4 linked regions of the Stegostoma tigrinum genome follow. The protein of the gene in region 1 interacts with the protein of each later gene in a pairwise test. Links are inferred from orthologs where the notes say so. Each region holds a gene or a part of one and is shown in the gene's direction. Other genes may lie near its edges. The genes, in order: disc1, akap9, exoc1 and stx18.

Region 1 (7,831 bases):
ACAGTCAAAAACGCAAAAACAAAAAAAAAGCACATTTTTTCAGAGTTGTGTTAACAGGCCTTTTGGAGAGACATGTGGATGGCTCATTTTTCTCTAAAATTATATGCCTAAGAGGAGAGTGTTTTTTAACATTGCTGAAGAGATTTTTTTCAAATCATGGAGGACAGTTCTTTTTAAATGTAGTAGTGTTTATGGAGCTTTTGGAGAGGCCTACATGCGTAAAGTGAGATCTTTTAATCAGAAGATTGAAGTCTGTCTGCTGGACCTCTGGAAGACTCATTTCTTAATTTAATTGTTCAGCTAACTGATTTATTTTATTTAAGATTTATATGTTTTTCTTATTCCTTATTTTTTGCATGCTTAACATTAATTCTTTACATATGGAAAGGTGGTATATTTCATATATAAGGCACTATTGTAAGCTGCTACTTTTTACGCTTAATGCCATTGAGGGCATACAAGAGACACAGTGTTAGGTGGTTAATAGATTTAGAGATTCCACAGCAGGATCAGTTAGATAGATGGATGACTGTCAAGAAATTTCAGAAGTTCAGAAGTCTCCCATGGTTATTTCTCTCTCAAACAAATGCTCAGCTTTGGATGCTGTTGAAAAGGATAGTCTCTTAGACGAAAAGTAGAAGACGCAGCCAGATCATGGGCACTAAGAATCAATCTTATGTTAGGCTGGCTTTGACAAAATTTGAAAGAATAATTGTTAGAGATGACTTTCCTATAAAGGGCACAGACAGGAGATCCTGCAGCAATGAACATTAATCTATGATATAATGTTGCTTTCTTGGTGCCACGATTAAGGATGTTTTAAAATGTTTGAAGCATGTTGTTAAAAGGATAAGTGAGAAACCAGAAGTTATTGTACACATTGGTAGGAATGACAAGGTTAGGGAAAAGATCAGGGCTTTACAGGGTGAATAAGGGTTTAGATAGAAGATTACAAAACAGAACCTCAAAAGTAGTAATCTCTGGTTTACTCCCGCTGCTAGACTCAAATGAGGGAAAGAATAAAATGATGAAGGAGATAAATCAACGGCTGAAGAGGTGATGTAATGTTCAGGGATTCAGATTCTCAGATCATTGGGATCTCTCCGAAGGCAGAAAAGACCTGTTCAAAAAGGATGGGTTTCACCTGCAATGGAAAGGGACTGATATCTTACAGGGAAGATTTGCTAATTCTATTAAGAGAAACTGTAAACTATTTGGGGAGGGAGAGGGTTTGGGGGATGGGGGTGAGGCATCCTAAATAGCAGGGTAAATAGAAAGATAAATGAAGATGGTTTTGAATCTGAAAAGAACAATTGGAAAAGACAGACAAAAGCAAGTCAGAGAATGAAGTAACTGAAGAATTATTTCAATGGAAGGGGTCCTATAGGTAAGGCTAATGAACTTGGGGCATGCTTTCAACATGAGATTGGGACACCATAGCTATGACAGAAACTTGGCTGAAGGACGGACAGGACTTGCAGCTCAATGTTCTAAGTTTTAGGTGCTACAGGAAGGGAAAGAGACGTAAGAGGAGGGGGAGTGGCATTTTTGATTAAGGAAAACATTACTGCTGTAACTAGAAAAAATATTTCTGAAATATCATTCAGTGAAAATATATGGATTGAAATTAGAAATGAAAAAGGAACAATCACCTTGATGGGATTGTAATATAGACCTCCAGCAGCCAGGAAAATTAAGGAACAAATATGTAGAGACATTTCAGATGTATCTAAGAATAATAGTTATAATAATGAGATTTCAATTTTTCAAACATTGATTAGGACTACCACTGTATTAAAGGTTTGGATAGTTTAGAATGTTAAATATGTTCAAGAAAATTTTCTTTATCAATATGAAGGAGCAAAACTTGACCTTCTCTTGGATAATAAGACAGACAAGTGACTGAAATGATAGTATGGGAATACTTTGCGTCAAGTGATCATAATTTATTTGTTTTAAAATAGTTATGGAAAAGGACAAACCTTCCATAAAAATTAAAGATTTAATTGAAGAAAGGCCAATTTTAAAGATATGAGACAAGAATTTTCAAAAGTTTACTGGAGTAGACTGTTTACAAGTAAGGGGATATCTGATAATTGTGAGGTATTCAAACATGTGGTAACGAGAGGTCACAGCTATTATGTTCCTGTTAGAGTGAAAGGTAAAACTAATGGGATTAGGGAACAATGGATGAAGAAAGATGTTGAGGTCCTAGTCAAGAATAAACAAGTATCATATATTAGATATAGAAACTGGGTTCAAATGACTCTCTTGAACAGTATAAAGTATGTAGGGACATTCTTAAGAGGGATATTTAGGAAGGCAAAGACAGGATATGTGATAGCTTTGGCAAATAAAGTTAAGGATAATCCAAAAAGATTCTACAAGCCATTAACAGCAGAAGAGCAACTAGAGAGAGAGAGTAAGGCCCTTTAAAGATCAACATGGTTATCTTTGTGTTGAACCTCAGGAGATGTGAGAGATAGTAAATAAATATTTTGCATCTGTTTTTACTGTGGAGAAAAATGGAAGTTAGAGAACTCTGGAAAATAAATATTGATATTTTGAAAACAGTTCACATTACAGAATAGGAAGTGCTGGATGTCTTAGAAAATATAAAGGTGGATAAATCGCCAGGACCTGATCTAGTCTATCCTAGGATGTTGTGGGGCCCCTTGCATAAATATTTGTATCATCTATTACTGTGGGTGAGATGCCAGATGACTGAAAGTGGCTAATTTTGTGTCTTTATTTAAAAAGGGATGTAAGGGGAAGCCTGGGAACTATAATCCTGTGAGTATGACTTTGGTGGTGGGTAAGTTGTTGGAGGTGATTCTGAAGAATAGGATTTATATGCATTTGAAGTAAGTAATGATTAGGCATAGTAAGCATGGTTTTCAGTGAAATTGCACCCCACAAATTAAATTGAGTTTTTCAGGAGTGACAGTGTGTGACAAATGTGATAATGGAGAGTTGTTTTCTGGACTGTAGGCTTGTGGCCAGCAGTATTCTGCTAGATTCGGTGCTGGGTCCACTTTTGTTTGTCATTTATATAAATGATTTAGATGAAAATATAGAAGACATGGTTAGAAAGTTTATGGATGACACCAGAAATGGTGCTGTAATGCACAGTGAAGAAGGTTATCCAAGATTATAAAGTGATCTCGATCAATTGAATCAATGGGCCAAAGAGTGGCAGATGGAGTTTAATTTGGATAACTGTGAGGTTTTACATTTTGGTAAAACAAACAAGGGCAGGACTTACACAATTAAAAGTAAGGCCTTCGGTAGTGTTGTGAAACAGAGAGGCCTAGGGCTTCAGGTACATTATTCTTTGAAGTTTGCATCACATATATGGTTAAGAAGGCATTTAGCATTCTAGACTTCATTGCTCAGGTCTTTGAGTGTAGGAGTTACATTGAAGTTGTACAGTACATTGCTGAGGCCACTTCTGGAGTACTGTATCCAGTTCTTGCTGCCCTCTTGTACAGAGGATATTATCAAACTGGAGAGGGTTCAGGAGAGAGATTTACTTTCAAAGTGCAAATGCTGGCTGTTAAAGTGGCAAAAACTCACTTGAATTTTTAAAATTTTCTTCTGGATATTTTTTCTTTGTGACACCACTGCAGCCATATAGGATTTTCCAAGGTAACCACTTATGGTAACTGGGTGAATTTTGACACCAACTAGTATATAGTACCAGTTAAGGATTGTTTGCAGTAGTTCACTGCCTGTAATCCTGTCTTGGGTTTATGTAAAGATTAGTGGTAGAAGATAACAAACAAACTAGAACACAAATTGTTGGAGAAACACAGCAGATGTGGGAACATCTAGAAGAGAAAACAAGTACTGTGACCCACCTTCAGAACAATTCCGAAAAAACTCGAAAAACCCGAAATAGAAACCTTTCAGTGAAGCGTAAAAGCTCCTTTAGATTTAAAAGAAGAACTCTTAAGAAACATAAACTTATACAACAACGTGTTTTGGAAATAACTATCTAATTGGTTCCACTCCCTTATTCTTTATTCAAAGCCTTTTAAATTTGTCCTCGCTATTTATTCTATTCCCATTTAGAGATCTTTATAAAACCGCGCAGCGAAACCCGTTCCGTATTAGTCTTTTCCACCATCCTTTCAGGTAATACATTCATTCCAGACCACAACTCATCCAATATATCGTTTCTCCACTGAAGGGTATCCAATTCCAGAATGTTACATCAGTAAACAGGTCAAAAGTAAAAGTGAGATTTATTACAAATATAAAGCATGTAATCATAATGCTTTTGACGCAGTTGGGCCACTCAAAAACAGAGCACTAAACCCTCAAAATTCGTCCAAACAGAACCTTCAAAATCGAAGGTTTTGTGAAGCTGTAATAACAAAGTCGCCACTGCGTTTGTGTAAAAGAAAAGGACTGATTCGCTCACTTCCTCAAATCTCTGCAAGAGACTGACCCTTTGGCATAACGAACTGAGAGGACTCGGTGTCGTTGTCTCCCTCAATTTGTCGTGCACGGATCCGCGCGCGCGGGGTTTCGACCACCATTGGAGACGAGCAGTTGGGTGAGGGTCGCACGATAATCAAACCGAACGGACAACAACGGCTGGAGGAACTGTCAAAGTGGCGCGAACGGAAGCAAAGCGCGCGGGACGGGGGTTATTCAGTGGGGGCCGTTAGCTCGCGCCTCGGCCGGTCTGGCTGATGATGTTCGATGGAATGGATGTAATACGCGAATCTTTCGCGGATCGGCCGAGATCAGTTTCTAGCAGTGATCCTGGGCCTCGGGGGCAAAACCCGCAGAAAAGAGGTATGACTCGTAATACGGAACGGGTTTCGCTGCGCGGTTTTATAAAACAAATTGCTGACATCCTGCGTATGTATCCAGGGCTCTTTTTCCCCCTCTAACCACACCCTATATCCATCTGAGATTGGGTTCAGTACCGGAGTCCTGTTATTGAGTTGTATTTGGACCCGCCTCCCCTTTACGTTAGACATGATAACTACTGATTCGCCGAACCCTGCCCTATGGACGCCGATTAATTGCAAAATCTTTCTCATCAGCTTAGTTAAGATAACGACTAGGGCATGAATCTGGGATCTTCTGCCCTTTACAGTTCCGCTCCATCGGGGAGCTGGGAGAATTTATTCAGCACTTTACCAAAGACCTTGTGGCATAGATAGCACATTTTAAGAAAAATATTTTCTTTATTAATGTAAGCACGCATTTACGTGGAGTTTTATTTCAAAATTTTGCTGTTATGATTGATCTTTACAGTTTACATTTGTCACATATTGCTTATTTCTTTTATTTTAAATAATAATTCCTTAACTTTGCATGTACTGTATACGGTTGGTAACAACTTTGCAAATATTTATTTTCACTTTTAATATTTTTGTAGTGAAGGGAAAACCACATTTAATCGTACGGTAATTATATATACCATGATATTCTGTACCAAACCTTTGTCAAAGTGAGCTATTCTAAATAGATAATATTGCAACAATTCCAAAAATACTGCCTGAAATAAGAGCATAGATAGCACAATTTCATATTCACTATTATAAGTAAACTACCTGTGATGATGTTTTACTGATATGAGATAACATATCCTCTGCACCTGCTGTATGATCTGATTTCCAAACTAACTTGTACAGTAAGTAACTTGATAACTGAAATTGCACTTTCTAGAAGTTTGCCTTTCACTGAATGCTCCCATTCTAGATTTGTATGAATTGCTATGCAGAAAGCTGACCGTGGTAACTACTGAAGGTCACATAAAAATTTGCTTCTTGAAACCCTTGTCTTTTCAGTCCTCTCCATGCTGCTGCTCTTTATATTTGAAAGTCCACTGTCAACTTTTATTTTAGCATGAGGCAGTACTGACAAATTCCCATTCTTGAAACAGCTGCCAACTTTGATTACTTTCTCCAGTAAATTACTGGAGCTAAACTGAAAGGCATCTCTGATAATAGAAGTAGCTTTAGGAACTGAATCTTGGTTTGATTCAAACTTAGGCCTGCTTTTTAGGCTACTTCCTACTTTTCATTCACATGCTTCCCCTTGGTAGCTGTCATTTTAAATGCCGAAGTGTCAGATATTGTGAAGCCTTCCAACAGCTCTGAAAGGTAACTTGTACAACAGGAAAGGCGAATAAGGAACAAGCCAAAAGCTACTTTTGCTTTTGAGAATATATAGGGGCTAATTGAATTTCCAGCATCTAAGCACTTACAGCCAATGACTTCAACCAACTCTATTCCTTTGGAAGTGGGTGTCTAATAGGTGTTTTGTTTTGAGCTCAACGCTGCCTCACTCTGTTGTGGCGAGGTTGATGTTCCTTTTGCTCAACGTCCTCTTCTTTCTCATCAGCAGAATGTTGCTGCTCTCACAGCTCCTTAATTACCCATCCCCATTTTGCTTGGGTCAGTTGTCCAGAGTACAACGTGCAAGGATTATGTGGTGCAATCCATTATCAGAGTATTGCAAGAAATCCCCAAATGTTTTCGTGCATGGAAATTTCATCTGAGGAAGCCTAATGTCTCCCAAAGGAAGAATGGGCTGCATTGTATTTAGCTTCAGTCTGAGTCAGAGGTTACGAAATGGAGTCATCAGCCATGATGGCAAAGGGTAATTGTTGGCTCTTAATAAAGCAATTGGTCTTTGGAATGAAGCAGGAACCTGAGAATTGTCAAAGATATTGGCATCATGGCAGTTTCCAGGGCAGCAGCCTCAGACTTCCAGAATGTTTTTGCAGTGATCACAGGTGAGTTTGACATTGACTGGATGGAACCCTTTCTTATTAATGAAGTTAATCAAAGTTCATCAAAGCATAATATAACGTGAACACCCACATAAGTATACAAAATACTTATTTTTAAAAATGTATTTGTAATAAATGACTATCACATATCAGGATGCAAAATAGATTTCAGTGTTTGGGCCAGTAAAAGGAGCTGGTTTTCTCTTAAGCTGAAAGTACCAAATTGGAAAACATTCTTCAAAATATTGTCTACTTATCAGGCTTCTTTAGAATGAATAGCCAATGGACGCTAAATTATGCATTGTAGTTCAAGAATAAAATTACAACCATACCAAGAGTTTAAGGCACTCATCTATTTGTTTTGAATTAATATTAGGGATGTAAATTGTGCACTCCAGAGTAAACCCATTATGGAAATTTTAGATAGCTGGGATTAATATTAGTTTAACAAATGTTTTCATCATGATGTACTTTAAATTGGTAAAGGTATTAGAACATAGAACTGTACAGCACAGCAACGGCCTCTTCGGCCCACGATGTGCCAAACATGACACCAAATTAAATTAATTCCTTCTGCCTGCCTTTGGTCCGTATCCCTCCATTCCTTGAATATTCATGTGCTTATCTAAAAGTCTCTTATATGCCCCATTGTATCTGCCTCTACCACCATCCCTGGTGACAAATTCAAGTCTCCTACTACTCTATGTCCCTCACATCTCCTTTGAACTCCCCCCCCCCTCCCCCCGCAACCGCCTTAAATGCATGCCCCCTAGTGTTAGGCATTTTGACACTGCGAAAAAGATTCTGACTGTCAACCCTGTCTATGCATCTTGTAATTTTATAAACTTCAATCAAGTCTCCCATTAGCCTCTGCCACTCCAGAAAAACAACCAAGTTTTTCTATCCTCTCCATATAGTTGATATCCTCTAATCCATGCAGCATCCTGGTAAACCTCATCTGCACCCTTTCAAAACCTCCACATCTTCTCTGAAATGTAGCAACCATAATTAAACACAATACTCAACTGTAGCCCAACCAAAGTCTTGTAAAACTGCAAAATGATGCACTGACTC
Region 2 (8,660 bases), on another chromosome or scaffold:
GTAATGCTGCCTGATTCCATCTTCTCAAATTAATATCCTGGGTCATTTTTAACTCTTTGCATGTTGATGTTTGTAAATGAGCTGTAATGCTGCCCTAACCTTAGCATCATTTCAAGCCCAAATTAATTAGCTACCTTCAAATAAAAGCAAAGTACTGCAAGATACTGGAGATTAGAAATAAAAACAGAAAATGCTCGAGGAATACAGCAGATCTGGCAATATCTGTGAAAAGAGAATAAAGTTCTAAACTATGAGTTATATTGGACTTGAAACATTTCTGCCTCCACAGATGCTGTCAGACTTATCAAGTTCCTCTTGCACTTTGAGCTTTTAAAGAAGTTACCTGAATTTGCAAAATAAAAATTTAATTCAAAATGGGGAATGTTAGCTTGATTTGCAAACTTTTATTGATTCAAATATATCTGTCTTAATGAAAATAAACGAATCTGTGAAATCTCTAAATTAATGAATTTATCTTCAATTCGATAGTGAAGTATGTAAAGTTTAGCCAAAATTAGCAAACAGACATTATGAAATAGCCAAAATGTCAACTTCTCCTATCTGGTTTCCACCCTTGTGATGTTGGCTTAAATAGCTCACCATTAAGCTGAATGGAATTTAATTTAAGTAAATAAGATAAAATCAAGTTTAACTTCACAGCTCACCAAAGCAAGAAAGTGTTGTGACCCAACTCTCACTGGCAACTCTGATTCATAGAACATAGAACAATACAGCGGAGGCCCTTTGGCCCTCGATGTTGCGCTGACCTATGAACTAATCTAAGCCCCTCCCCCTACACTATCCCATCATTATCCACATGCTTATCCAAGGACTATTTAAATGCCCCTGCACTATCCCATCATTATCCACATGCTTATCCAAGGACTATTTAAATGCCCCTAATATGGCTGAGTTAACTACATTGGCAGGCAGATTGTTCCATGCCCTTACCACTCTCTGAGTAAAGAACCTGCCTCTGACATCTGTCTTAAATCTATCACCCCTCAATTTGTAGCTATGCCCCCTTGTACAAGCTGAAGTCATCATCCATGGAAAAAGACTCTCACTGTCCACCCTATCTAATCCTCTGATCATCTTGTATGTCTCTATTAAATCCCCTCTTAGCTTCCTTCTCTCCAATGAGAACAGACCAAAGTCCCTCAGCCTTTCTTCATAGGGCCTGCGCTCTAGACCAGGCAACATCCTGGTAAATCTCCTCTGCACCTTTTCCAATGCTTCCACGTCCTTCTTGTAATGGGGCGGCTAGAACTGCACGCATATTACAAATGAGGCCACACTAGCATTTTGTACAGTTGCAGCATGACACCACGGCTCCGGAACTCAATCCCTCTACCAATAAAACCTAACACAGCGTAAGCCTTCTTAATAGCACGATCAACCTGGGTGGCAACTTTTAAGGATCTATGTACATGGACACCAAGATCCCTCTGCACATCCACACTACCAAGAATCTTTCCATTGACCCGGTATTCTGCCTTCCTATTATTCCTCCAAAGTGAATCACCTCACATTTATCCATATTAAACTCCATTTTCCACCTTTCAGCCCAATTCTGCAGTTTATCCAAGTCTCCCTGCGACGTGCAACATTCTTCCACACTGTCCACCGCTCCACCGACTTTAGTGTCATCTGCAAACTTTCTAACCCATCCACCGATGCCTGCGTCCAAGTCATTTATAAAAATGACAAGCAGCAGTGGTCCCAAAACAGATCCTTGAAGCACACCACTAGTGACCAGACTCCAGGCTGAATATCATCAACCGCCACTTGTTGCCTTCTTACAGAAAGCCAGTTTCTAATCCAAACTGCTAAATCTCCCTCAATCCTGTGCCTCTGTATTTTCTCCAATAGCCTACCATGTGAAACCTTATCAAAGGCTTTACTGAAGTCCATGCACACCACGTCAACTGCCTTTCCCTCATCCACATGCTTGGTCACCTTCTCAAAAAACTCAAGGAGGTTTGTGAGGCACAACCTGCCCTTTATGAATCCATGCTGACTATCTCCAATCAAATTGTTGCTTGCTAGATGATTATAAATCCTATCTCTTATAATCCTTTCCAAGGATTCATCTCATTAGTTATGGAGACTCAGGCATTTTAATCAATAAACTTCTGGCTGACTTTTCTTTAGAGATAACTTCAAAGTCAGGTCTCATCATATTAAGGCTTGCAGACTTGTGAATGTTAAGTTCAAAAATTTTGGCATGAGTATTGATGACTCAGCACCGACAGAAGGAGTTGTAAATGGTAAATGCAAATATATTTTAGCATGACAGCAAAATGGTAAAAAGCAAAACAAACCTTGTCACTATTTTCTATCTGATTGCTAACATTAACCTTTTGCGAAACTGTACCTACAGAGGAAAGCCAATCAGAAGACAATTACCTGTATAACTTCCATTCTCATGTTGTAAGTCTCTGATTGAACAGTTAATACAAATATTTCTCTGAACAATAAAAGCAAGCAATTATAAATGCTCTGTAACATGCCACTTATCAAACAATGCATTTAGTTTGAGCAGGCTAATGTGCTGTGCTCCTGTCTCCTTGATTTCCTCACTCTTAGCTGGAAATTGAGCAGCAACTTGCCATTACTTGCTTGTAAGTTGGCCACTTATGGGTGTCATTCGAGGTGAGGGAAGGCATGCCACATCAGGCCTCATCTGCCTCCCATAAAATTGCAACCAGGTCAAGGGTGGGCAAGTAGGGAACATGACTGAGAACTGCAGAATATTATGACCCTCCTTGGCAGAGGAAATAAAAAAATTCTGATCTAGCAACATCTTTGTTCTGGATGTCATGGCTGGTTTCTTAAGAGTGTAACAACTGTTATCTGGATCAGTTTGAAGTGAAAGTGCATTCCTGTCTTTTTGCTTATTTCCCTTTTGAAGGAAAGTGTCTGGTCATCTTTTGATACTTTTTCCATTCAGATTATTCCAATGGGATACATTTAAAGTTCAGTTCATTTTATATTCATCCATGATGTCCTGAACATTACAAACATTTCTGTCGCAGAAAGCTAACAACTTCAATACAAATTTTAAGGTTAGTTTATGGAAACACAATTCTAAAAATTGAAAACTCTCCTCTTTCTGGCTGTGGTTCCTTACAGTCCACTACTGTCATGAGACTGTTGACGAAATAAAAGTCTTGTCCGCCTGTTTTAATGAATTTAATAATTATTGAGATTCTTTTATGTGTAAGTCAATTGTGACCCTGCAGTCCAGAATGCTTAGAACCAAATCATTTCTGGATTTCTGACTTTTCTGCATTATCGAATGACATTCTGGCCTAATCATGTACATGAAACAGAAACCACTGTGGATGTACATTAGCTACCTTAAACATAAAACACTTTAAAGTAGTAAACCCAGAATGAGAAGATTGCCTTATTAGGAAGGGCTAACAGTGCATGCTTATAATCGCTGGAGTTTAGAAAAGTCAATTGAAATACTTGATTGAAATATTTAAGATCCTGACGAGACTTGACCAGATGAATGTCAAAAGAATATTTCCTCTTGTGGGAGAATCTAGGACTAGGAATCAGAGTTTAAAAATAAGGGGTCACACATTTAACATAGAGATGAAGAAACATATTTTGTCTCTGGGAGATTTGAATATTTTGGAATTCCCTTCCTCAAAAGGCGATGCATGCAGAATCTTTATTTTTAAGGCAGAGATAAATAGATTCTGTCTTTACATTTCTGATAATCCTTCATCCTTTTAGTAATCAAATTACCATTGTCTTGCCAGATCATTGGGTTCCTCTCTAAAGTGACAAGATTGATTGTGGTTTAACCTGAAGGTCACTATGCCTCAGGTAAGGGGAGAGGTTAAGGAGGAGAGTCCTTGTTAAGGAGGAGAGTCCTTTGTGGTTACCTGAGCTGGTGCAGAAAGTGAATCCACACCATTGATGTCACACTGCATTACAATCCAACCATCCAGCCAACTGAGCTAATCGACCCCAATGACAAGTTGAGGTTAAAATCAGGTCAGCCATGATCATCTTGAAATGGCAGAGCAAATTCAAAGGGCCAAGTGAACCTACTCTTGTTCCTTGTTCACATTGTTGTATGTTCAAAGTAATGAAAAGAATTTACTAACCCCAACACATCTTCATTTTTTCTGCTCTCAATATATTGTACTAAACTGACACATGAATGGCTCTGCTCAAAGAACTTCCAGACAACTGATGTTTCTAAACGGTAGATTTCCAGTCTGACTAGTCTAAACACTTATGCTATTCCATGAGAATTAGACATTCATAATTTTATGTAATAATGGAGTTTTGGAAAGATTTGTAAGGCTTTAATCAAAAAGCCATCAAAATTTGTTATAATTCAGCTTTGATAAAGTTTAATGTGGGTGTCCAGTTGAAATTGGTACAGATCACATCTGGGATTTCTACAACTCTAGAGGCCACATACTGTTGAGGAGTCTTGTACTATTCTTTAATGTACAATCAGTGAACTAGCTTTGTGCTTAGTATTGTTGTTTGAGTTGATGTAATAAGTGTAAAGAAATTTAATATAATCATCCTGGTATTACTTGCCCCGTCCAACTGAATTCTTTCTATCTCTAATTTTATTGTTTCACTTTGTCAAGGCTCATCCACCGCATCTGTAACACTGCCGGTGTCCTTTGCCACTTTTGACAATTTCCTGCTTTCTAACCCTAACTGTTTCCTTTTCACAATAGATGTACAATGTCTCTACACCATTATTCTTCATATGGACATACTGATAACATCATTTCATTGAATGGTGGCCCCAACACTTCAGATCTAGCACCATCCTGCTCTACCTGGTTGAACTTAATGTATGGCTGGCTTTTTAGTTACATGTGGAACATTTATTTTTTGAGTCCTACTTACTTTCTCCCCCATCTTTTTCTAGAACATTCACAGCTGTATCTATTTCCTCCCCATCCATCTCCAACTCCTCCTTCCCTCCCTTTCACCATCTTCTCCTCCTCTCCCCATCCTTTCTGACCTGGCGTCAGCCGCCTCCTCCCGTGCGAGGGATTGCTGTCCTGTGAGTCTGTCATGCGCAGTGGTGTCGTTGCCGCGGGCCGTGGTGTCGGCCGGCGCTGCTAACGTGTCACTGACTGAGCTCCACTCCCTCCCTCTCACACAGCCATGGAAGACGAGGAGAGACAGAAGAAATTGGAGGCCGGCAAAGCCAAGGTAAGAGTCCCTCACTTGCTGCGGCGGTGAATACTGGAGTCGGGATAAGGGAGGGACGGAGGCCGGCGCTGGTCGGCTGTTTTCTGTCTGGAAGGCACTAGTCCATGGCCCCGTCTCCAGGTGCAGAGGGATGAGCTTTAATATCTCTGTGCTTTCTAATTGGATCCGCAGGCTTTAGCCAACTGTAGGGGATTGTAGGCCTTTGGTAATCGTGCTTTTTATTGTTTACTTGAGGTGCCAGAAGGGCCTAGAGCAGGATCCAGGGCTTTGTTGTGAATTGAATTAAACGAGTTAATCAGAATCGATACAAAGCTATTTGCAAGGACGTGTCAAAGGAAAGATTGTACATTATAAATTGAACAGAAATTAAGTGTGTTAATGAAAGTTGTTTAAAGATTTTGCTTTCAGCGAAAACGGTTTGTTTCTGTTAACCGTGTTGGATTGGATGTAGCAGCTATTCGCAATGACAGCCCAATACATTACATACTTTCTAACGTCTTGAAGTACATTTAAGATAATACATCTTAAGAAGGCTGGAGTGAAAGTCACTTTAATGTAACAAAATTGCAGAAGTTTAACAACAACTTCTAAAGTATGTAATTGTTACATTTTTTCCAGATTTATAATTTAGTAGTGTTTAGTAATCCCATCAACAGGATTGGTACTTTAATAAAGGTATGCTGGAGTATTTGAACTGCCACCAGATTGTCTGATTATTATCATCTGTTTTGCCCAAGAAATTACAAGATTGTTTATGAACTGTGTGAGTAGTGACAGCTTTATTTCTGTGTGTGCTAAAATTCAATAGGCATAATCTCCCATTTTTATTGATGTACTGTAAATGTTTTGCATCACAGAGAAACTTAGATTTTCATATGGTTACAGAATGATTAAATGTGATAATTTCAGTAGCGTCTTTGTCTACAAGAATAGCCTCGTGCATATATATAGCATCTTATTGCATTCTCACATAATTCAATGCACTTGTGTATTTGTTTCCAGTGATAGTTGTAATCTTGCTGAGTGACGAATGAACAGGTGGGAAAGACAACCTTGAAGTTTGACATAGCTGCAGTAGAAGTTGGGGAAAACAGAATATAAAATGAATTAAATTAATCCATATTGATATAGCATGTGGATAAAGTATGAAAACAGTTTCTTTATTTGTTTCTGTGATATGCCTGTCATTATCAAGTTGTAGCTGCTGTTGACAAGGTTGTTGTGGGCCTTATTAAACTAGAGCAGTCTGTGTGATGAAAGCGGTCCCACAAATTTCACTGTTCATGATTGAGTGAAAGTAATTGATACGGCTTTGTTAGACCTCGGATGCTAATGTGAGAAACTTCTGCAATGATATCCTGAGGCTGATTAGAATCGGCAGTTGCCAAATGTTGTGTTGTGAAGTAATGTTTTACTCATTAAGCTGTTGCTTAGTCAAAGACTGAAGCAAATCTTTAAAGTCTTAGCATATTAGCAAAGTAGAATTCTTTCCCTCAGCCAATGGGATATTTAAGAAAGTTATGATAGTTACGAAAATGAGTATATTTCATGACATGGAGGGCAACTTTGAGTTTTGTTTACCAAAGTGAACACAAACTTTTTGAAGTGTGCATTTCCATGTTTCCATATCGATTTTAGCTTGTTGCATCCTCTTGATGAAGTATTAAAGTTCAACACACCACCTGCAAAATGGATAAGGTAAACTGTACAAAATTGGACAATGTCTAGAAAAAATCCTAATCACCAAATCTTAATCTACATGGTCAGTATCTTTGGAATCATGTCTGACTGGTGAAAGAGAAGCTGATTCAGAGTTAACATTTCAAGTCTGACATAATACTTTTGAACTGATTTGTGAAAAATGATCAGAATCAGCAGTTCCCAAATGTTGTTATGTAATGGTTTTGCACATTAATTAAGCTTTTTACTCAAAGAATACGTACTCTAGAAGAGTCAGAACAGACTTGACATGTTAAGTCTTTTTCTGCCTCTGCAGATGCTGCCAGACCTACTCCAAGTTTTTCTGTTTTCATTTCTGATTTCCAAAATCTTTAGTATTTTGCTTTTATATCTTTATCTTATGTTTACTACTTGCACCAAGTTTTGAAATATATATTTATATTACATAGAAAATATATTCCCAGATGTTCCTCTCAGCATTATCCTGGATTGGAAGTCATTCTGAATCTGTCATAATACTATTATTGTTGCTTCAGTTTTGTTTTTCTTCTCACATTGGAAAGGCTTTGAAAAAGATGTGTAAAGTTTGTTCAGGGAATGAATTCTTGCTATAGTCCCAACTTAGTTGACTGAATCACTTGGTTCGTACTGGTTTAGATTATGGGAATGTAGGAACAGGAATAGGACCATTATGCCTTGAATTCCGGTTCTACTATTCATGGCTAATCTGTACCTTCACTGCACGTGCTTTGACTCAGACTCCTTTTCTATTAATGTCCAGCATGTATCTATCTCTGATTTAACATATTTAATTGAGCTAGCATCTACTCAATTAATTGGAATTCCAAACTGTTTCCAAGACCCATGATGTCAGACGGAAATTAATTTGATATTTGAAGGAAATTGCAGGGGTATGGGGATAAAACAGCACCTGAACTGACTGGATTATTCTTTGCTTAATGTCACCTACTGGAAGGGACATGTTTCTCTCCATTAACCATATTATTTCCTTTCAATATCTTAAAATTCCTTGGTCAAATTACCCCTTAGCGTTGTATGCTCGAAGCATTGTGCAGAAAGATGATGCAAGCAACAAAATCATTACTATTGGAAATGAAATATAACATAATCTGTAATACAGAATTGTTTGCAACATCTTTTCCAAACGAGACTATATTAAACAATTTGTATTCTAGGCATGAGGGAATATGTATAGGATTAATTGTCATTATTTACTATAATGTTTTAGTTTCTGTTTATGTGAAGAAAAATGTAAGATCTTGTATCTCTAAAGATTCTGATAATCTGAAAAGTCATGATCAAATTTTCTATTTTCAGCTTGCCCAATTTCGACAACGGAAAGCCCAGGTCAACCTTCATAATCCGGGAAAAAAACAAAAGAGAAAGAAAAAAGTAGTAAACAAACCGGAGGAGCAGGTGGAGTACGTCACACCTAAACATCAGCAACAGGATGCTAAAACTAGGGCAGAGAGTGGTCCACTAGGAGATGGAGAGTTCATAATTAATAGGATTTTACACAGTGGAGATGTAATCAAACAGGACCAGACCTATATGTTTGAGGTGAGAATTATTTGTGCTTTGTTTTTCTTCAATTTAATAAGATGTGACAAATTCATTTATCGTGTGCTTATATACCATGTAGGATTTGTGTGGTGTTTTTTTATAGTTTTACAGTAAGAGAACAAAAGCCTAATATTTTCCCAGTTCTGCTAAGTTCATACATTATGTGCTGTGGGTAGAGGGTGTTTCAT
Region 3 (7,941 bases), on another chromosome or scaffold:
CGAACCATTTCCACTCCCCCTCCCATTCTTTAGATAACATGTCCATCATGGGCCTCCTGCAGTGCCACAATGATGCCACCCGAAGGTTGCAGGAACAACAACTCATATTCCGCTTGGGAACCCTGCAGCCTAATGGTATCAATGTGGACTTCACCAGTTTCAAAATCTCCCCTTCCCCCACTGCATCCCTAAACCAGCCCAGTTCGTCCCCTCCCCCCACTGCACCACACAACCAGCCCAGCTCTTCCCCTCCCCCCACTGCATCCCAAAACCAGCCCAGCCTGTCTCTGCCTCCCTAACCTGTTCTTCCTCTCACCCATCCCTTCCTCCCACCCCAAGCCGCACCTCCATTTCCTACCTACTAACCTCATCCCACCTCCTTGACCTGTCCATCTTCCCTGGACTGACCTATCCCCTCCCTACCTCTCCAACTATACTCTCCTCTCCACCTATCTTCTTTTCTCTCCATCTTCGGTCCGTCTCCCCCTCTCTCCCTATTTATTCCAGAACCCTCACCCCATCCTCCTCTCTGATGAAGGGTCTAGGCCTGAAACATCAGCTTTTGTGCTCCTGAGATGCTGCTTGGCCTGCTGTGTTCATCCAGCTTCACACTTTATTATCTTGGATTCTCCAGCATCTGCAGTTCCCATTATCAAAAATGGAACTCCAGTTGGAATCTGTGTTGGATAAATCAGAGCCAGATCCAGAGCCACACCTAGTCACTGAGGAAGGAGATGTGGCTATGACACTCAGTCATGGCAAACACAAGGAGAGAAATAGAAAGCAGTATCATTTTCATATTATACACAAAATATTAACACTATTTCTGGCTCCAGATTTGCTGCCAGACTTGTGAAATTTCGTCAGTGTTTTGTTTTATTTCAAAATCTTGTTAATTGCATTCAAATGGTTTTCTGCTTTTGGAAAATTCCATGAATGACTTAAACCTTCTCTGAAGTTCTCAAAGGTCGATCATCTCCTCAAAACATAGTTAACAAGACTCTGATTATTTGATTTTTAACAGCTCACATAATGGCTTTGCTACCATAGCATCAGCTTCCCTTTCTTCCTATATTTAAAAACTACAATGACCAAACTAAATTTCCTATAATATATTCATCCTATATGACCTATGATATATTCTATAATGCATACATTCACAATAAATTTTATCGTCTACCTGCATCATAGTAGCAGGAATGCACCTCAGCAAACCTGGCTGGTGTTGGTGTGTTCTCATCCCAACCCCTTCCAACCTCGACCTCAATAAGGTTTGCTGCTATTCAGCTTTCACTCACTCTATGTCATTCATTTTCTTGCTCCCACTGTATTATACCAGCTTCCACTCTCACTGATTTACCCAGATTCTGCTTTTGCTGACCTATTCCATTTTCCCTCAGACTACTTTATCCTATTTCCACTCTCATTGCTTTGGATGAAGATTTTGTAGGATAAATTTAGAGCATTGAACAGATTATGCCAACCTTTGGTTTTTAACGCATGTCATGTAGAACAAAGTAAAGACTGAGAGAGTAAAGGAATAGTACAGCTTTGATGTCCTGGGAAGGGTAAGACATAGTATATTCATACTTCATCTCTCTAACTTGAGGATATATTTCCTCTGAGAAAGGTTCAAAAATTCATGACAAAATCTTTCAAACAAGCTGCCAAACTGCTATGAGTGAATGAGTACTTCCTTTTCACTGTCTAAATCTTTTTCAATTCTGCTTCCTGGTGAATTGCTTTTCATAATTCTTCAAACATTGTGTTTCTGATGCTCAGTTTGATCTATCATTTTAAATAATTTCTCCAATCTGACTTTCCCCTTACATTGTTCCAATGTTTCTATCCTAATTACTCTTAAGGTCTTCTCCTTGAAGAAGTCGTTTCAGATTTGACAGGTAATACGGTAAATTTTGTATAATGTCACCCAGGTTCTTGTTCTCTGTGGTTCCATTCCTGAAAATAAAAAAAAATTGTGGCTACTTTCTTAATACTGCTAATATTTATATTGTATCTGATGGAGTATCTCTGTGCCATTTTGAAATTATTATAAAGTACTTTACTCTGTATAATGCATTAAGATATTTTGTACATTAGAAACATTATGCAAGTATCACGTATGACAACGTATATGTTTCGGTTGACATCTGATTTACAAACTGAGTTGGCCTCTTTGCTAATTAACATACTATTTGTAAATTGTTATATTGACCATGTAAAATACTCAATGCTATGTGCAATAATTGCATATTTAGATTTCAGTTCCATACTAACCTCCAATTCCTTTGTATATGTAACTTAATTATCAGATAAGATACTGCAAGGCAAAAAATAGTACTTAGTAACAATTTGATTCTCTCAGAAACTGATAAACAGGATTGTACTCATTTGTATTTAACTGTTTGCTATAATAACATTTTCAGCAGGAATTGAATTGAATTAATCATCAAACATTTACACAGACAAGATAGATCGTAATGCTAAGATGAAAATTTGATAACATTAATGTGTTTTGGGGGCACCACAAATACCTTTCGAACTTGAGAACTACATAAGGATGGTTGCAGCACACACATGTGCACATGCATACACTGAATCATCAGACAACCAGAAAAGTTGACGTTTCGGGTAGGGACCCTTCTTCAGAAAAAGAGTCCCGAACCGAAACATCAACATTTCTGCTCCTCGAATGCTGCCTAGCCTACTGTGTTCCTCCAACTCCACACTGTGTTATCTCTGACTCCAGCATCTGCAGCTCTTAATATATCATGCACTGAATCATATTGGCTGCCATATATGTGACAGTATTAATCTATACATAGTGAATGTCAGCTGGAAGAATTCAGAACTCATGACATGCAATATTGATTTGACACCAATCAGGACATTATTGAGCTCATCACTCCAGCAATGTCCTCTCTTCATATCATATAACAGTTGCTCAACAACACAAAGGACCACTGAGCAGCACTATTTAAAACATTGAGCTACATACAAGCTAGTTCTTTGTTTGATTTCTTCCAGTTGTTATCATGATTCTCTACATCTTTGGTGCTTTCAATGGTTATTCATGTTACAAATATCAGAGGGAATAGTGTGCCTGATGATGAAAGACTTCTTGATGACTTCCAATTGCAAAACACAGTTGCTTCCAGACTTGGGTGTATTAGTAAGGATTCTGCTAGCTCTACATCATAAGTTGGAGAATAAGGAGAGGTCATTCAGAGTAAAGGGGAAAAGGGGCATTGAGGAAAAAGAGAGAGGCACCTATCAGGAGGTGTTCAGGGAGCAATTTTTCTATGTAAACTTCAATGAAAAACAATGGGAGAAATTTAACACACCCTGAGGCAAGTTTGGACACAAGGGCATTTATTCTGGTTGGGATCCACCATCTTCCTGATTATGCCTGGGCCAGGAAGATTAATGCCAATTTAAGGCCTCCTCCTGCCATTGTCTACTCTCACCTAGCAGATAATGGGGATATTGCCAAGCAGGAAGCCTGTAAAGCTAACCCTTGCCAGCTCCCTATGTGTGGGGATCACTCATTCAATGACACTCATTGCCTGATTGAGAGATCTGGGGTTAAGAGGGCTGAAGTTGCAGAAAGTCTTACCCTGCCCTCGCTCTTGAAACCCTTCTCCTGAAAATGGACTGCAGCTTGTCAAGAAAGTAGTTTACTATCACCTTCTCAAGGGCAATTAGGGGTAAGCAACATTTGCTGACCTAGCCAGCGATGCTCGTCCCTTGTGAAAACATTTAAAAAGGTTTCCACAGTCAAGCCAACTCAATCTGAGGTATCTTCTTAGCCCCAAACAATGTGGGGAGCGGTGACACAGTTGGAAAAATATGGCAAGAACAGAGAAACGAATTCTAAACATTAAGAAAAATATGCCCAATTTTTCCACACAAGTCTTTAACAGCCAAATGCAGTTTGGAGCTCACCAACACCAAGAAGGGTTGGGGGTCTGGAATGCACTGCCTGGGAGGGTTGTTGATGCGGATAACCTCACAAGCTTTTAAAAAAATGTTTGGATGAACAGACGAAGTGTCATAACATTGAAGGCTGTCAGCCTAGTGTGAGAAAGTGGGACTAGTGTAGGCAGTTTATCTTTCGGCTGTACAGACTCAATGGGCCAAAGGGCCTCTTCTGTATTGTATGATTCTAAGACGGGAGGAAAGAGTCACGTATGGATCATACGAAGACAAGAGGTGGAAATCTGGAAGAAAAGTTGATTAAATTTTCAAACAAGATCCATCTGCACAATTCAACAAAACAAAATCGAAATTCACTAAATGTTTGCATTTAACAGTTAGTTAAAATCTCTGACAGTGCTAGAAAAACAGCTGAAAATAAGACTGTAGAGCTGACACATCTCTTCCAGCATGGAAAGAGTAAATAGCAAAGCTTTGCCAGTCTGAATGATGGCGCCTTTCAAATTGTCATATGGGGCGGGCGGTACATATCCGGATGTGACAGTGGAGGTGGTTCAGTTCCGGATCCGGCATTGGGATGTTGGCTGTTGGTTGTTGTTGAGAGGTCGTCTCTGTTGGACGGGATCTGCTTTCTGCTTTAAGGTAAACACGATGGGGTGCAGTGGGCTGGGGCTAACAGTACGGGGGAATTGGCTCGGATTCGAGTCAGAGTTGTTGCAAAAAGCCCGGAGATTGGGGACAGTATTAGCTGGAAAGTGTCATTTTTCCCAGCTATTTAAACTTGGATATCATAGTTTTTATTGTGATAAGAATGTGGTACATTATAAAGTAGGAACCATCTGTCAGTATCTTCCTGTCTGCTCAAAACAGAAATCACACTGAGGCCATTTTCAGTTCCTCCAGTACTAACTGGTTGGATTTATTCTGGTGAGCAATTGCAGTCGATTGTAAGTCGCACAATGTCACTGAAGAAGAATCAGCAGTTTTCCAATCAAACCAAAAGTGAATCAGCATAATTAAAATAAAATAAAATAAAACAAAATCCACAAAAATTGTGAGGAGGGCATGTTGCCTAATTCTTAATATCATTATCAGTGTGTGGGGATCCCTGCATCCTCAAGATTTCAATGGTTTTAACAGGTTTCAGTTCACTGCATTTTCTGTCTACAGTGCCAACCAGTCAATGTAGGAAGACAACCAGACTCATTCTGTGTCTCTAACTTGACAATATCAACAGTAAGGCCAAATCATTTTGGTAAATAATTGAACTTGTTATATACAGTTTTTACTATGTATTAACTGTATTGATAAATTTTGCAACTGTAATTTACTACTTTAATCACTCGCTGGTCAAATTGGTTCATTCTGAATCTATCTTGGTCAAAGTTACCAACACCACCTTTGGCGATTGTAGCTGTGGTGCACCATTCTTGCCCTTACCAACCCCTCCATGGCATTTAGTTCTGTTGATGATTTCAAGTTCCTTCCTTTCCTTCCCTTTAATATCTGTGACACAATGCTCACTTGATTACACTGCACCCTGTTCTAAAGCAGCCTGCAAACTCTTTACTACATGGCTTCTGTAATTTTCTCTAAGTTCCATTACTGATTCCTTCCTCTTTCCTATCTATATGATGTTCCATGGTTTCTGCACACGTAGTATTAATGGCTACTTACCCTCCCTTGCCTACATCTCAGGTTGTTTGTCTGATCTGGTGCTGGTCATGTATATTGGGCATCCTTCATAATGTTAAAGCCATTTGTTTTTCTCCACTACAGTTACTTCGTATCCTTGTCTCTGTGTGACCTTAGTCAAAATCCATGTAGAATCAAATCATCCAGATTGCTCATTTCCTTCTCCACAGGAAAGCACTCTACTGTACAGACTTCACCTTTCCTGTTGCCCATCAATACTGCTTTAGTTCATGTCCCTAGCTCCTCTAAGCAAGTTCCAATTCACTTCACTAGTCTTCCACCCATTGTGTGTGGTACTTGGTCTATAATGCCAGTTCCTACTGTTCTCCATTGGCCTCTAGTTCCCTAAAGTATTAAATTCAAATCCGTCCCCAGCCAAACCCCATCTTACCTTCGAAATGCCTCTTAACTCTAGTCCCTTTCTGCTCTGTTACAGTACATTTTTCTGTGTGGCCATCTCTTCCCACTCTACTTAAAACCTACTTCCGTGATCATGTTTTTGGTTCTCTCCTATACTTTCACCGTTGAGCAACTAATTTCACCTGTTTGAAACACCTTGTAAAGTTTTACATTAATGAACACTAGAAACATCTATCTCTACTTTTCAGTCATTTTGTTACTCAAAGGTTGCTTGTTCTGATGTACAGCATGCACATTTAGATAGGGCCTTTTAATTCAGACATTTTAACTTTATTCTCTGTGTTAATCCCATCACAATTAAACATTCACTTCCTCCAACCGCCAATGTATAGTGGCATCGACAAGAGACACTGCAGCGACTTGGCCTACTGTATTCATCCAGCTCTACACTTTGTCATCTTGGATTCTCTAGCATCAGCAGTTCCCATTATCTCTTTCAACAGCAGCCCAGAATGTGAAGTACAAAGTTGTGCGGGTGTCAAAAATCTGAACAAAAAACATACTGGAATCTTAATTGGCCAGACAGCAGCTGTAGAGGAACAGATGTCCACTTGTCGATATAGATTTTTTTTTTTGGCAGTTTTGGGAAAGGTATCACACCCAGAATATTTGAGTTGCATTCTGAAATGCATTATCATAGGTTTGAACTGAGTGATTGATTGATATAGAAGCCTGCACAGAATAAAGCAAGGGGAACCAACAGTTTAATGTGAAGGTTCACCAAGCCTGTGAAAATTTAATCACAAGGTCAACCAGTGAGAGTACACTTGCCTCCTGAATTCATATGTGGAAAAATCAGGAGAGGTCCCTCCACTGGTAAGCCATTTCTCTCCCATGATGCTGATAGCCTCAAGTACATCTACTGGTAAGCCTTTCTGCAGCAAATGCGTGAAACATCTTGTGGTTGGAGGAATGTCAAGCGTTGGGAAAATGAATGGCAGCATATCAGTATGAACACAGCAGCAGTTGTGGGAGAGGCTGCAAAGATGAGACAACCATTTTAAACTTGGCAAGAAAGGAATGTTCAAACTGGGAGCCTGGAAAATTTAAAGGAATTCCTAACAAAAGACTGTATGTGGAGTCTCTAGCTAAGTTCAGGACCTACTTTCGGCAGGAAAATATGTTGAATACTGTTGTATTGAGTACTTGGGTAATCCAATACTGAATTTTTACTTCAGAAGAAAGATTGGCATTTATGTATTATCATATCTGTGTTTTGCATTTTATGAAATAGCCAAAAATGCATCATTTTGCAGATGGTACAATCCTAAATAGTAAAGAATAACTAAACTTTTATTGTACCTCATGACTTTCAGCTATTTCAGAGTACTTCGCAGCCAATTTAAAAACTTTGGAAGTGTAGTCACTGTGGGACATATCCCCTGACTGGGGACAAAAATTCAAAAGGCAGGCGGGATTCAGGCAAGTGGAAGATGTTTTTTTAAGCAGAAACCAGTTAATACAGGGAGAGGGCCAAAGAATCTTCCCTGAATCAGAAGGGAGGTCAATGGCACACTCTGATTTCACAAAGAAGTACAGCATTTTTAGATACTGTTATAGCAATCAAATACAATGTAGTTATTGTCCTTCCCCTTAATCCAAACACCCAATCCATGGGACACCTAATCAATGATGGGCAATCCTGGGGACAGCCACGGGTCTCATGTCGTGGTGTTTACTAGTCAATGTAAACTCTGGGCCCTGGGATCATTCTGTGTGCCCTATTAATTCACATTCCGAAAATTATTACTTATACTCCTTCTGGTTTGTCCTAGACTTTCTCATCTAAGAGCTGTTTGAATTCTGTTATTCATGGTATTACATCTGCCATCTTTATCAAGTTCAATGATTCCTTCTTTGTTTCTCACTGTCCTGAATATATATTTTAAA
Region 4 (7,869 bases), on another chromosome or scaffold:
AGGTTTCTGGTACCAAGACTGGCTCGAACATATCAAGGGATATACCGGGTTCCAAGTAATTGTTTGTGATAGGGTACTCACTAGTCAGAGGCATAGCCAGACAACAATGGAGACAACACTGTGGCCGATAGCGAGATGCCTCCCTGGAGCCAGGATCAAAGATGTGTCAGAGAGGCAGAATATTCTCAACAGAGAGAGGGGCCAGTGTGATGTTGTTGAACACCTTGGAATTAACTACATAGATACAGAAAAGGATGAAATTCTGTGGACAGAATATAGGAAGTTAGGCAGGAATATAAAAAGTAGGTCCTCAAGGGTAGTAAGGCAGATGAACTCTGGCTATGATTAGAAACATGGGACTGGGATATCATAGCAAATATGGAGACGTGGCTCAGGGGTGGATAGGACTGACAGTTTAATGCTCCAGATGCTATAGGAAGAATTGAAAGGGAGGTCTCGGCTTCTCACCCTCACTTTCCTAGCCGTTGTTATATCAAGTCTATGAATAAAGATTGGCATGCACGTCACAGCACGAGTCAACTGCTTACTTTGGTTCTCTGTGGCAGTTGCCAACTTCTCCAAGGAGAAGTAATGCGCTAATGTGCCTGACATATGGCAGACATCAAGGCTTTCCATAGTCTGTGCAAAACAGCTCAGAACCCCTAGCATCTTGATCATATGTTGTTTAAACTGCTGCATTTTTGGCAGGCTTCTTTTGACCACTACCAAAGAGCCTGCTTTCAGCATGGGACTCTGCAGGGGGCTATGCCAGGACAGCCCTCAGTGTCAACAACCTTGGTGGTGACAGCCTCTAATAGTTGCTGGGATATGCATTCATTAGAAACTGACCCCAAATCTGAACACAACACATTCATGATCTTGGAGGGTGTACCTCCGCTGCGGAGGGTGAAAGGCAGGCAGGTAACAGTGCATCCTGTAGTGTGGTTGTCCTCGGAGGTGGTGTCTTCACTCTTCTTAAGTGGCTGAGGCCTATGTTCTGGCATGCAGGAACCTGTATAAAGAGAACAAAAACAAACCCTTTAAAACAGAGATTCTGAGCACTACACAATGCACTGTGGTCCCGAGCACCCTTTATGGCTACAGCAGGTCAAGTTCATTCTCCCTCTGAACCCCAGCCACTCCAGCCTTGCCATCAACAACAGATTGGCCTTCTATTCTCTGCAGGACTGCTTTCGCAGCAAAGGCAAGGACCATAAGATTTGGCATACTTCTGCCCATCTTTCTCCTTGCTGTCTGATTATGAATCTGCTTGTCCTTCACAAGAAAGTGAAGAATTAACAAACTGACAAATGCTACCAAGGCCCTACCAGATAATGGTAGCTTATATCAAACTGCTTACTCAAGCTAACCGGAACTAATCTGTCATGCAGTCCGAAGGCAGATCACACATTCATTCTCAACACCTAGTTGCCCACCAAACAAACACATAGCCAAGACAAACAATGTTGCATAACTGAGACACTTATCCAGGTGGATGGGTGGAGATCACTGACCATTTTGTGACACAGCACCTGTGGTCTCTGGCAGGCCTAACCTCTGCAATCTCTCTCTAGGTCTTATCAGGCGTGTAGGTCAGACTACTGTTGCCATTGCTCAAAGTACATCATCCACTATTCCAAATTGGTCTGGATAGGATTTGCAGGATGCATTGGGATGTCTCTGTTCTGACTGGGTGTAAAGGGTTAAATCTAACTGTGATATTTCTGAGAAGACAGTGTACACCATAGGAATTTATGCAATGTTTTAAGAACAAAGTGTCTCCTCCAGCCTCCTGCCAAGATGGAACCATGGTTCGGTCTTTCTTAAATAGAATTGATGTTTTCCTTACTTCAACATGCTCTTGAGGTATTCCTTATCAGCATCTCAAGGCCCAAAACACCAAAAGGGGATAAAGGATGGGGGCAGAGTGGGGGAAGAGAAGAGGTGCACAAAAAAAATGCCAATTTTTGACAAAAAGGAGTAGGAAAAGTGGGCCCTTGATACAGTGTCTCCTTGCATGTCCAGGTGGCTCTGCCACAGTCCTGCTGGACCTGAACCATCATCAGACGAGGTTAGCTTCGAGAGGAAATTTGTCCCCATCCACACAATTGCACATATTTCACATGCCTGCCACTCGTCCTTTAAATATTGATAAGAATCGAGAGAATACCAGCTCCAGGAAAACAGAAATGGGTTAACAAAGTGTAGCGCTGGATGAACACAGCAGGCCAACCAGCATGTTAAGAGCACAAAAGCTGGGAAGGAAAAGAGATGCGGACCGAAGATGGATAGAGAGGGTAGGTGGAAAGGAGTGTGTTTGGGGGTGGGGGGAAAGGTAGGTAGGGAAGGGATAAGTCAGTCTGGGGAGGACGGACAGGTCAAGGGGGCCAGGTGGGGTTAGTAGGTAGGAAATGAAGGTGCGGATTGAAGTGGGAGGAGGGGATAGGTGAGGGAAAGAACAGGTTAGGGAGGCTGGGATGAGCTGGGCTGGTTTTGGGATGCAGTGGGGGGGGGGGGGGGGAAGAGGGGAGATTTTGAAGCTGGTGAAATCCACATTGATACCATTGGGATGCAGGGTTTCCAAGCGAAATATGAGTTGTTGTTCCTGCAACCACGGGTGGCATCATTTTGGCACCGCTGGAGGCCCAGGATGGACATGTCGTCTGAGGAATGGGAGGGGGAGTTGAAATGGTTCACAACTGGGAGATGCAGTTGTTTGTTGCAAACCGAGCGGAGGTGTTCTGCAAAGCAGTCCCCAAGTCTCCGCTTGGTTTCCCCAATGTAGAGGAGGCCACACTGTGTACAGCGGATACAGTATACCACAGTGGTGGATGTGCAGGTGAACAAATGCTTGATGTGGAAAGTCATCTTGGGGCCTGGATGGGGATGAGGGAGGAGGTGTGGGGGCAGGTGTAGCACTTCCTGCGGTTGGCAGTCCCTCCTCCGCACCTACACCCCACCTCTTCCTTCAATACATTGCTGACTGTATCGGCGCCACCTCATGCTCCCAAGAGGAGCTCGAACAGTTCATCCACTTCACCAACACCTTCCACCCCAACCTCAAGTTCACCAGGACCATCTCCAACACATCCCTCACCTTCCTGGACCTGTGTCTCCATCTCAGACTACCACCTACAAACCGATGTCCCCTTCAAGCCCACCAACTTCCACAGCTACCTGGTATACAGCTTCTCCCACCCACCTTTCTGCTAAAATTCCATCCTCTATTCCTTCGCCGCCTCCACATCTGTTCGCAGGATGAGGCATTCCACTCCTGCACATCCCAGATGTCCTCATTCTTCAAGGACAGCAACTCCCACCCCCTTGACCTGTCCGTCCTCCCCGGACTGACCTATCCCCTCCCTCCCCCCCCCCCCATACTCTCCTCTCCACCTATCTTCTCCTCTATCTATCCTTGGTCCGCCTCCCCCTCTCTCCCTATTTATTTCAGAATCCTCTCCCCCTTCCCCCATGAAGGGTCTGGGCCCAAAACGTCAGCTTTTGTGCTCCTAAGATGCTGCTTGGCTTGCTGTGTTCATCCAGCTCCACACTTTGTTATCTCGGATCTACCAGCATCTGCAGTTCCCATTATCTCTAAACATAAACGGGTGCCCACTTCTGCTTTCATCGCCTGGCACCACAAATCGCTGATTAAATGTCACGCTGTTGAGCCCGGAGCGCACGAAACTAACTGAATAATTCTGAGGAACGGCACCTCAGGCTTCCGTTTGGAATAAATTAACTTAAATTCTGGATTCCATTCGGCCTGGAAGCTTGAAATGTGCAAAAGCGTTTCCAACATTGATTGTCAGCCCCCGGGTGAATTGTAATCAGTCACAACATCCTCCGACTCACTATTTACAAGAGACGCACGGTGGGGCGAGGGTCACTAACAGGAAATACTGAGCAAGCTTTTCCAGAGGTGGAATGCAGTACAGGTGATGGTGAGGAGTTAGTCCTGGTCTGAGCGGTTTCCATAAAAGCTGTGATGAAGCCCAGAGGGAAGGGAGTACAATGCTGGAGCTGGAAAAACAGAGCAGGCCAGGCAGCATCAGAGGAGCAGGAAAGCTGGCGTTTCGGGTCGGAACCCTTCTGCAGTGTTATCTCAGACTCCAGCATCTGCAGCTCTTACTATCTCAGAGGGAAGGGAAGTAGCTTTCACGTGGTTTGGTCTCCAAGGCGAACCCGGGCTCATCCAGTAACGACCCGTGGGCGAACCGCCCTGGGAAACCACGAAACCCTCATCGGAATTATTCACCCTCCGCGTTCCCGCCACCTGCTTCACCCGTTCTCCGACGCCGACCGGGTCGCCGCAAGATGACGCCGCCACCGTCGCCCGTGCCCGGGGTGAGGGGCGGCGTCGCGCCGTGATGATCTCTCCAGCGGTGACGTGTCTTCGGTCAGAATGGCGGCCGACATCACGCTCTTGTTCCGAGCGAGTGTGAAAACCGTCAAAACTCGGAACAAGGCGATCGGTGTCAGTGGCGAACCGGTCAGGGAGGAGATCCTGAGGAAGGGGAGGACGAGGGCCGAGTTCACCGCCCGGGCCAGAGAAGTGGTGAGTGCCAGAGAGAATTGAAGCAATGCAGGGGGAGTACGGAGGCTTGCCATTGAACGTTGGGAAGAACAAAAACAGAAGTTGCTGGAAAATCTCAGCAGGTCTGGCAGCATCTGTGAAGAAGAAATCAGAGTTAATGTTTCGGGTCCGGTTACCCTTCCTCAGAACTGTCAACTTAAACAGAGGCCACCGAGCCCTACACCTCTTCAACCCACTGCCTTTATCCGCAACAGATGCGGCAGAGACTGTCTTGCCAGAGTGTCTCACGCTGGAAAGAGTTGTATTTCTGTGGCACCGTTTACTTCTAGCGAACACCACACCCCTCCCCCCACCCGCCGAAAGCGTTTTACAGCCAATGGTACATTTCTGAAATGTAGTCGTTGTTGTGCTGTAGGCAACACAGCGGCCAGCCAGTGTGTGCACAGCAATGTGGTATACGCACAGTAGCTCACTGTCCAGCACGAAAATGATTTGCTTCCCCGTGGTCACCTCTCTGAGAATCACCAGCTATGTGGTTCAGGTGAGCTACTCTGGCATGACAGTCTCTGCCGCATCTGTTGCGGATGAGGGCAGTGGTAGGACTCGGTGGCCTCTGTTTAAGTTGGCCGTTCTATCAGCCAGCCGATCTCTTTGTCTCTGTTAGTTTCATTCAAACAGTCAATCTCCAGAGTCAGGGTTGTTTCTGTATGCCCTTGGAACAGGTGTGGATGGCCCAGGAAGTCATGGTGCTATATAGATAGTTCAGTTTACAGATGATCATTTTCTGTTGAATGTGGCCAGGTCAGCACAGACATTATGTTCCAGACCTCTAAGTTTGTGTCCTTATCCTGCCAAGAGATGCTGACGTTATGTTTGCGACAGTGAAGGTGAAAATTGTTCCACAGATAATTTGCTGGTTACTATGGAGTCTACATATGTAAGACTGTAAACAAACTCCAGTGTCACATTATCAATGCTGATAGATGGCATATGGCGACATTCTAAAAATGATCCTGATACTATTGGCCATACCACCAATTTACAATGTGAGAGAATCTGTCAGAATTCCACTCAAGGTGTTGCTCAGTATGGAATGTTAGTGTAGTATTGTCAGCCTAGAGCAGCTGTGATGAGAGCTTGATGCTTTTTGTCTTAGATCTTAGGTGGGCAAGAATGAGTAGGTTCTGTCAGTTCTAGTATGTAAGTAGGTACTGTGAACGGGTCACCAGCTGGGATATGGCATTAGCAAAAAGGTGTATATGCCAAAAGGTGTTGGTGTCACACTACAGATTTCAAAGAATACCAATCTGACCCTAGCTGACTTTGCTCAGTATTTTGTTAAGGAAATAAGATCTCATTGAGCAGCTTCGGCAGGTGACCAAAGCATAAAAGTTGAACACAGATACCAATAAATTCTTCCCTGCTTCTTCTGAATGGACCTTTTAAATTTCAAATCTAATGATGATCTTGCTTTTTGAGCACCTCTTTGCAACCATAACTTAGAATTCCTTACTGTGTTCAATCATCCTATGATCTTTGTATGTTATGATTTGCGTGTACTGCACCCAAAACAAAATTTTTCACTGTACTTAGGTACATGTGACAATAATATATTCAATTAAATCAGGCAGCACAAATGGCCTGTCTCATCTCACGTGATTGAATGCCTTGGTGAAGTGAAAGTCCTTGATATATTGTTGCCATTGCTTGCGTCATTTCTCTTGCAGCTGCTGGACAGAGAAGGTCTTGTCAATTTTATATCATCCAGTTCGACCCAAATCGTCAAGCTTTCCTGCTCCTCTGATGCTGCTTGGCCTGCTGTGTTCATCCAGCTTCATACCATGTTATTTCAAAAAGATGCATTCAACCAAGATCTGGAGTCTGAGGAAGGCAATGCTAGAAGATTTTTTTTAGCGTGCCACTCAGCAGGAAGATGCTTTTATGGCTTTGCAATTGTTGCAGTTACCCTTGTTCTTATACAGGGTATTAGTCTTAGAATCATGCATATCCTGGGCACTGCCACTTCCTTCCAGCAGATGCTGCAGGAGTGCTGGATTTTTGTGCTTAATTGTATTTAGGTCATGTAGCATAAGCATCTCCAGCTTTAGTCACAGCAAGAAATAGTGTAACTGAGCTGTGGATTCAATATCTGGCTCTGCCATGACAGCAGGCTTTCATGTTGTCTAGACCGTCCTCAGTAACAGTCTGTACAGTTTATTTCACAGTAGCGTTTCAAGTATCTCTCCAAATGTATATTTTGTTCTTGATTACTGCCCCTGTCTTTGCTAACAATGGAGCTGTTTTCTTTGCTGCTTTTTGCCTGCTTCAAATGTGCCTCTGACATTCCCATATCAAAGGACATCTGTCCCTGCTGAAGCCTGCAGTCAGTGTGTTTGTCTAACAGTCTGTTGGACTTTTATTTCGATCAGGTCTTAGTGTAACAGCATATGTTCACTCAGATTTCTGTTGTAGTTGGTGAAACGAAAGGAGCCAGATCACCGCTGTTTTTATGTTGTTTGTCGAGAGATATTTATTGGCTTTGATAGCAGGGATAGCTCCACTGCTTTTTGACCTAGTACCGTTTGTGACCATCTGAGAGAGCAGAGAGAGACTCATTTCAATGTCCAAACTGAAAGACAGCACCTCTGACAATATAGCACTCCTTCAATACTGAACTGGAGTATCAGCCTTGATTTTTGTCTTGAAGACCTAGAGTGGGACTTGAACCTTAAACCTCTGCTTTGAGTGACAGTCCGCCAGCTGAACCACAACTCTTACATTTATATGTTATCGTGAAATCCAGAAGCTGTTCGCAATGAGTGTTGAGGGGTAATCACTTTTTTTGTTATGGCAGTCATATTTCACGCAGCAATGATCCTCAAATTGTACAGAGATGACCAGTTGAGGCTCTGTATTGGTAGTTGTGCTGAAGACAATGTAGCAATGCAGAATATCTTGCCTTGTCGTGTTTATGTGTCACTAATTAATCAGAAGTTGCAGTCGATAATGCATTGTAAAAGTGCAGCCAGTTGTGTTGACCAAAAATGCCAAACTGTGTGTTCATGTAAGGTCCTATAAATGCAAATGATTGAATAACCAGACAATCTGTTCAGGAGATATGGGTTGATGAGAAATGTTGGCCAGCATACTAAGCACTACTGTTGTTCCAACAAATGAACTTATAAACAAGGAACAAGAACTGGCCAGTAAGCCCGTGAAGCTTGTTCTGCCATTCAATTAGATCATGATTGATCTGATTTTTAACTTCAACTCTACACTCCTGCATATCCCCAAACAATTTTTCATTCCAGTAGCACCATGAGATTATTTCT

Evidence for each region.
Region 2: the proteins of disc1 (region 1) and akap9 interact in a two-hybrid assay, tested with the Homo sapiens proteins (2 studies listed by BioGRID and IntAct). The link is inferred for Stegostoma tigrinum from reciprocal best matches to the Homo sapiens genes DISC1 and AKAP9.
Region 3: the proteins of disc1 (region 1) and exoc1 interact in a two-hybrid assay, tested with the Homo sapiens proteins (2 studies listed by BioGRID and IntAct). The link is inferred for Stegostoma tigrinum from reciprocal best matches to the Homo sapiens genes DISC1 and EXOC1.
Region 4: the proteins of disc1 (region 1) and stx18 interact in a two-hybrid assay, tested with the Homo sapiens proteins (2 studies listed by BioGRID and IntAct). The link is inferred for Stegostoma tigrinum from reciprocal best matches to the Homo sapiens genes DISC1 and STX18.

The regions. Positions count from the first base shown.
Region 1 is NC_081357.1:97,267,075-97,274,905, forward strand, and holds the start of disc1 (disrupted in schizophrenia 1 protein), read left to right. Parts: upstream 1-4,451; 5' UTR 4,452-4,700; coding exon 4,701-4,806; intron 4,807-7,831. UniProt on the Homo sapiens protein: Involved in the regulation of multiple aspects of embryonic and adult neurogenesis. Required for neural progenitor proliferation in the ventrical/subventrical zone during embryonic brain development and in the adult dentate gyrus of the hippocampus.
Region 2 is NC_081355.1:108,967,427-108,976,086, reverse strand, and holds the start of akap9 (A-kinase anchor protein 9), read left to right. Parts: upstream 1-5,080; 5' UTR 5,081-5,160; coding exon 5,161-5,208; intron 5,209-8,226; coding exon 8,227-8,469; intron 8,470-8,660. UniProt on the Homo sapiens protein: Scaffolding protein that assembles several protein kinases and phosphatases on the centrosome and Golgi apparatus. Required to maintain the integrity of the Golgi apparatus. Required for microtubule nucleation at the cis-side of the Golgi apparatus.
Region 3 is NC_081354.1:109,168,685-109,176,625, forward strand, and holds the start of exoc1 (exocyst complex component 1), read left to right. Parts: upstream 1-4,484; 5' UTR 4,485-4,578; intron 4,579-7,941.
Region 4 is NC_081354.1:17,152,557-17,160,425, reverse strand, and holds the start of stx18 (syntaxin-18), read left to right. Parts: upstream 1-4,352; 5' UTR 4,353-4,405; coding exon 4,406-4,558; intron 4,559-7,869. UniProt on the Homo sapiens protein: Syntaxin that may be involved in targeting and fusion of Golgi-derived retrograde transport vesicles with the ER.